Linked DNA regions of Sus scrofa. The protein of the gene in region 1 interacts with the protein of each later gene in a biochemical or structural test. Links are inferred from orthologs where the notes say so. Each region holds a gene or a part of one and is shown in the gene's direction. Other genes may lie near its edges.

Region 1 (3,648 bases):
CTAGGGCCTTAAAAGAGAGATGGGGTGTAGAGAGGCAATGTGGTTTAAGCAGAGGAACAGAGATGGGAAGTGAAGAGGTCCAGGGGTAATAAAGGATGTGGTTTATGATTTTGTAGGGGGGACGGTGGGAGAAGTAGATTGGGACTGTATTCCGGTGACCCTTTGGTCTGGGAGGAGAAAGTCTTCAAAACAAATCTAATTGCCTCTGCTTCCAATGTGGGCACGCTGGGCCCAGAGCCTTTTCGGCCTCTGGAGGGACCAGTGGTTGTTGCAGCAGGGCCCTCCAGTCTTGTGAAACCAAACCTCCTAATCAGAGATTCCTCTCTCGCAGCCGATGAACCCCATCCCAGCACCGTTGCCTCCTGACATACCAAGCTTCAACCTCATTGGCGACAGCCTGTCTTTCGACTTCAAGGATACGGACATGAAGCGGCTTTCCATGGAGATAGAGAAAGAAAAGTACGTAGTCCCCCCCTCCCCTGCATCCTGCATGGCTAGCAGGTGAGCAGAATGAGTGGATCTGGGCCTGGGGATGTGGAGGGCCGCCGGTCACTAACTCCTGCCAAGGTGTGCTCCGTTCTCACCCACTGGAAGAGGAATTTCCTAATCTGAATGGAAGAGCAACAGGCCAGCATTCACTCTTCCAGGATAAAAATGACACTTGATTAGTGACCTGGAGTTTAAAGTGGCTCCAAAGCCCACCTAAAGTATAGAAGGGGATGTTGGGGGTCTCTAAGCCTGTCCAACGGCTGCTAACATGATGGTTGTGTTCTAAGCTGGTGATGGAACACGTTTCCTACTTGTGTTCTCTGGCAGCTGAGCTGTGGCGGTCCCATGTCTAGAACAAGGGCGAGAGAGAAGGAACTCAGGCTTCAGGCTGAGAAGAGCAAACAGCCAGGGCGGCAGCCAGCTTGACCCCAGCACGCCCTGAGCTGCTCTCCTCCCTCACTTTAGGGTCAGGGAAGGGGGTCTGAGAAGGCAGGGAGCCCCCTGGCAGAGGACAACTTAGGAGGTCCCTAATCAAAGATAAATGAGCCATGGAGTTCCCGGGGTGGCACAGTAGTTAACAGATCCAACTAGGAACCATGAGGTTGCAGGTTTGATCCCTGGCCTTGCTCAGTGGGTTAGGGATCCAGCGTTGCCTTGAGCTGTGGTGTAGGTTGCAGACGCAACTCGGATCTGGTGTTGCTGTGGCTCTGGCGTAGGCCAGCGGCTTCAGCTCTGATTCCACCCCTAGCCTGGGAACCTCCATATGCCACAGAAGCAGCCCTAGAAAAGGCAAAAAGACCGGGGAAAAAAAAAAAAAAAAAAAGATAAATGAGCCAGCTTGTGCCACAGCTGGCCAGGGCTCAGTCACAGTAGCTGCCAGGCATTGGGTGCCTGGGTGACAGTGTCCTTCGGCTTTTATCTCATTTCATTCCCACTAACCGACTTCAAAGGTAGGTTTGGTGTTCCCATTTGTAAATGAGAACCCAGATTTCGAGTCTTTAAGGCACTCACCCAGCATCCCACAGCTGGTGAGGAACAGGCTTGGATCCGGCCCCTCGCCGGTCTGACTCTGTGCTCTCACCTTGTTTGATGTCCTTGGATGACCCTCCCAGTGCCCAGCACGGGCAGCCACAGGCCGTCTCTTTGGGCTTGAGCGCTGAGGATAGAGGGGACCCTCGTCTCTGTGGCACCGTGGTCTGAGTTCCCCCCAGCCCTCCACTGTTTCCCAGGCATGCTCAGCGTGACCTGGTTGCGATGAGGGTGAGGCTGTGTCCTGTTCAGTGTCCCGCTTTCACAGCTTGTGTTTTCTGACTCATTGCCTGTGCGCACGTGGGCAGAGTCCATAACCAGCCACGGGAATGGCTGTGGAGCATCCCCTGGGTCTGTGTCGCAGGGTTTGCCTGGCCATGCCCGTGCAGTTGGACGCCCTCGGGGTTCACCCACACAGATACAGTATCTGCTTGCAGGGGAGGGTGAGCGTCTTTCTCTCCCTAGTGCTGGCTGAGTGAGCCTCTGTCATCTTTAGGCGATGATGTCCCTAAACAAGTAGGGATGTGGCCAAGGCCTATCAGAAGAGGTCACCAGAATGAAATCACCTCTCCAAGAAGGGCTGAGACAAGGAGATTAGGATGTCAGGAGGTTTGTTTCTCCAGTTGTTTTTTGGACAGAACTAAAAGCTGTCTGCTGTTCATTACAACTGGTATGAGAGTTTACTGAGGCTTTCCTACACTTCTTTCTGTTTAATCCTGACCATAGATAGCCCTGTGCTCATTGTCCCTATTTCATGGATGAGGAAACAGAGCAGTTAAGTGACCAGCTCGAGCTCCCACAGCCCATGAGTGGCCAAGCAGAGACGTGAACCCCAGGCTGCAGACCCTGGGTCCCGGGCCAAGCAGCCTGTGGGTCTGGAGCCTCTCAGCCACAGTGCGTCTCCCAGTTGGCCAAAGCCGTGACTCACTCTCCTCTTGCTGGCAGAGTGGAGTATATGGAGAAGAGCAAGCATCTGCAGGAACAGCTCAATGAACTCAAGACAGAGATCGAGGCCTTGAAACTCAAAGAGAGGGAGACGGCCCTGGATATTCTGCACAACGAGAACTCTGACCGGGGTGGCACCAGCAGCAAGCACAATACCATTAAAAAGGTACCGAGTCGCTGGGCTTTTGCTGATCTTGACAGTCGTTAATGAAATGAGAGGTTGGCATCTGGTTACCTCTGTCATTCGACTGTTGTCATTTTTTATATATCCTTAGTTGAGGAAATTTTTTGACTCACGCCAGAAAGGGAATTTAATCTGCCAATGGCTGTGAACCCATTGGCTTGATGGAAGGGAGCTTGTGTTAAAAGCTCTGATGAAATGAATCACTGTTACAGGACGGATTTTGATCCATCATTTAGCAGCAAAGCAGTTCTGTCTTTTAAGCCGAGGGGAGTTCTGCCCAGGGAGCTGCCTTAGTTAATGAGAAAGCAAAATGAAAGGGAGGCTGTTGAGAATGGACTCTCTCTCTAGTCTTTTTGTGTTTTTAAGTGGCAAGGACTATATAGTTCTAGAGCTGCTGAATTTTTAACTTTTTTTCATACTTGAAAGGAAATACCTAGAAGGACCTTCACGTTTTAAAAGATGAGACTTCATTTATGTTGCCAACGGTTTCATATCTTTATGGATATTTTGAGCTTTCAGCATTTCCGAGGAAGTTACATTCCATACTGACTGCCTACCCAGGAGTGTACTTCTCTTACATTGGGCAAAGCAGAAAGGTCTGCTCCTGCCAGCTGATGTCTGCTCCTGACTGTTACCCCAGGGCCAGGTTCACGTCTAGAAAACAGGGGTCAATAAGGCAAGACTGTTCATTGAGCTTAACTGATGAGAGTTAGATATAATTATTTATTTATTTATTTATTTGGCTTTTTGCCATTTCTTGGGCCGCTCTGAGGCATATAGGGGTTCCCAGGCTAGGGGTCGAATCGAAGCTGTAGCCACCAGCCTACGCCAGAGTCACAGCAACGCAGGATCCAAGCCGCATCTGCAACCCACACTACAGCTCACGGCAATGCTGGATCCTTAACCCACTGAGCGAGGCCAGGGATCGAACCCGAAACCTCATGGTTCCTAGTCAGATTCATTAACCACTGCACCACGACGGGAACTCCTAATTTTGTACC
Region 2 (3,648 bases), on another chromosome or scaffold:
CTGCCCTGGACAAAGTGGTTATAGTGGAATAATAGGTAATGGTTAAGAAATTCCATGTCTGTTGGTTTTCTCTTGGGAGAGATTAGTGAAGTCACTCAAAAGGATTCAGAGGAGATGCTCAGAGGTACTATTGAGATGGCATGTCCTTTAATGGAAGAACAGAACCATCAAACATTGGTTGATAAAGTCACCATGTATTTAACCGTCATCACGACAGATATGGACAGAAGTGGCACCAGTGCTCATGGAGAGAACTGGACCTGGGACCCACACTCTTCTCTCAGTCACCATGAGAATCATGACGAAGAGGAGACCCAGCATCCTACAAGCACAAGTAAGAAGGATGGCGGTCGGCAGTTCTGGTTTAGAAGAGTTAGTGAAGTCAAATTGGGAAGACTTTCTGGTAGACATTGGCTGCATCTTCTATTTCCACGCGTGATTTCTTTTATGCCCAGAGCATGAAAAGCTGCCAAATATGCATATAGTTTCTTTAAAAATGGGAAGAAAAATGATCATGTGTCAGGTTGCCCCAAAGGCCAAAGTGTTTAAAAATATGTGAGATGGGGTTTTTGTGTTAAAGATTTGCAGAGGTTCCACTTGGGTAATTCGTGTGTTTTTACGGACAAGTATGATGAAGAGTGTGTTCTTTCGGTGCTTGGTAGTGAGATCTGGAAAGAAAGCGTGACGAGTGCAATGATCTTTGGAATCCTTTTTTTCCATGATGATCTTTGATGTATCCAGATTCTTTTTCACATTCCGTTCCTCAGTGCATTGTAGGAAAGCAACTCTTGTACTCTTTGGAGGAAAGGCAATAGCTCAGACGGTCTACATTGAATTCCATGAGTGTTCTTTCTGTTTTTAAGCTCTGGGTAACTTGGGGAGGGCTTCGATGCTGTTATTTACGTGCAGACACCTCAGGTTTCTTAAAACATTGTCAAGTCTTAGTACTGGCCTATGAGGATAGGACATAAAAAAAAAAAGAAGAAGTGTATACTCTTTTTTTTTCTCTCTCTCAGGGAGATGCCTATGGTGTTTAGAACAAAAGAAGCTTTATTTAGGATGGGAGTTTGTAGCATTTTAAAAATTATGGTTCAACCATTGTTCTCATAGCCTTGAATACCCTTAAAGCAAACGTATAAGCAAAAAGTACTTGGAAGCCAGGTTTGGTTGGAGGATGTCTTCAGACAATAAAAGAAACGTTTAACACATCAGTTAGCACTGAATAGGTTCACAGGTCCTGGGTGTTGTACCGAATATGCCCAACAGACCTACATCTCATTACTTATCCCAATAGATTTGATAGACACGTGAGAATTATGGGCTGAATTATAAGAGTCTTCTGCTAGAAGAAGGAAATGAGAAACAGAAGTCTCTTCAGAGTGGGATTGTGTACCCATCCCTTTGGGTCCAAACAGTAGGTCTTAGAAATTATTTAAGACAGTTTGTGCTTGAAAAGCAGAAAACTATTTCAGAGGCTTGGCGTTAATGAGCCTATTGTCAAAAGATGGTGGGGGAGGGGCAGGGTTACTAGTTGAAAAATGGGACATGACAGATCCTAACTGGGAAAGCAGCAGCTGCTAGAAGAGAGCCAACCTTCACATTTCCAATGGAAATCCTATGCTTTGCTGACCCATATGTTGAAAACAAGAAGGGATTTACTGGATATTTAAGGGATCATTGTGTTTATGAAGACAGTGATAGGAAGAGTATAGGACAGTGTGTGTGTGTGTCTGTCTGTCTGTCTGTGTATTTTCTTTTTCTTTCTCATTTTAGAATTTAAGTGGGGAGTCTATTTTTGGATTAATTTTTCTGTTTTTGTGATTACACCCAGTAGTTCATTATTTGTCAGGAGGTAGTGATTTAGCCAGAGGTGAGGGAGAAAACTTAAGATTTGGGTTTTTGTTTTGGGGATTTTGTTTGCTTGTTTGTTTGTTTGCCATCCCCCTGGATAAGCAGTTATCCCCAGGAATGTTTTGGCCAATGCAAAGGTAAACCAAGAACAGAAAGTTTTATTTTTTTTAATGTCTTTGCTATTAGCAGATCACACATATTTTATAAAATAATGGAATAAACCAGTTTTACAAGTTGCAAAATTCACTTTTACTTGGCAAGTTAATACACTCTCATTTTCTCGATGAACTAAAAATTTGCCATTAGTTGCCATGGATGATAATTTCAACGGCTTTTTGGTTTTTCTCAAAGGCACCCTGATGCAGTTTATTTCATTCATCCTCTCCTCTTCAAACCTGGGCAGTTATGACCCTGAGTATTTGAAGTTTTAAGCCTGCCACACACTCTTCTTGTTTATACAGTGCCAGACTCTGGCTAGAGAAGTTTTCTTCCACTGAATTAATTTTGTTAAAAAATAATCTTGGCACTTTTAGATGCTCCATAGACAGAACCTCGTACTCTGTCAGCGGAGTAGCCTCGCAGTCATTCCTGACAGCTCTCATCCTGGGCAGACCCCCTGCTGGTGCAGTTCCAGGGTGCGATTGTGAGTTATGTGACCACACTTAAGCAGGTGGCCGTCTAGGCTGATCTTGTCGTGATTTTTTTTTTAATTTTAAAAATATTTCTTTTTATTTTCTTTATTTTCTTTGTGGCTGCACCTGTGGCATATGGAAGTTCACAGCAACGTGGGATCCTAGCTGTTCTGTGACCCATGTGGAGGCTCGTGACCATGAGGGGTCCTTAACCCACTGAGAAAAGCCAGGGATTGAACTCACAGCCTCATGGACACTATGCTGGGTTCTTAACCTACTGAGCCACAATAGGAACTCCTGGTCATGGTTGATATATAATGTATTGCTCCCTCCAAAATCACTGGAAACAAGAGGTCAATTTTTTTTTTCAAGACCACACCTGTGGCATATGGAAGTTCCCAGGCTAAGGGTCAGATTGGAGCTGCCATAGTTCATAGCAATGCCAGATCCTTAACCCATGGAGTGAGGCCAGGGATTGAACCTGAATCCTCCTGGGTACTAGTCAGGGTACCCCTGAGCTACAATGGGACACTTCTAATTTTTTTTCTCCTTGGAGTTTTTATTTTTAAGATTATTCGTGAATTATGTAATTTCAAAATGATATTAATCTTTAGGAAAATGTGAGGAGTTGACTTTTCTTTTTTTTTTTTTTTGTCTTTTTGCTATATCTTGGGCCACTCCCGCGGCATATGGAGGTTCCCAGGCTAGGGGTTGAATTGGAGCTGCAGCCACCAGCCTATGCCAGAGCCACAGCAACGCGGGATCCGAGCCGCGTCTGCAACCTACACCACAGCCCACGGCAACGCCGGATCCTTAACCCACTGAGCAAGGCCAGGGATCGAACCCGCTACCTCATGGTTCCTAGTCAGATTCGTTAACCACTGCGCCACGACGGGACTCCAAGAGTTGACTTTTCTTTAATGCTTTTATAGCAAAAGGATTTAAATTTTTAAATAGGGAACATTTTGCATTTAGAGTACATTTTGGAGCATCTAAGCTTTCCCTCACTTCCTGGACACAAGGATGCAAAGATAAATAAGACATAGTTGAAGACGTTAGTTTTTTTAATGAATGGTCTCCCAGACAGGATAGATGTGGCCATATACTCTAGTACAACAACAATAATAATAATACTAGAAACTCATAGACTGTGGCTAGATGATTT

Evidence for each region.
Region 2: the proteins of NF2 (region 1) and CD44 form a complex in vitro, tested with the Homo sapiens proteins (2 studies listed by BioGRID, with this or other methods). The link is inferred for Sus scrofa from reciprocal best matches to the Homo sapiens genes NF2 and CD44.

Annotation. Positions count from the first base shown.
Region 1 is NC_010456.5:46,709,302-46,712,949, forward strand, and holds part of NF2 (merlin), read left to right. Parts: intron 1-331; coding exon 332-459; intron 460-2,463; coding exon 2,464-2,629; intron 2,630-3,648. UniProt on the Homo sapiens protein: Probable regulator of the Hippo/SWH (Sav/Wts/Hpo) signaling pathway, a signaling pathway that plays a pivotal role in tumor suppression by restricting proliferation and promoting apoptosis.
Region 2 is NC_010444.4:25,821,531-25,825,178, reverse strand, and holds part of CD44 (CD44 antigen), read left to right. Parts: intron 1-217; coding exon 218-334; intron 335-3,648. UniProt on the Homo sapiens protein: Cell-surface receptor that plays a role in cell-cell interactions, cell adhesion and migration, helping them to sense and respond to changes in the tissue microenvironment.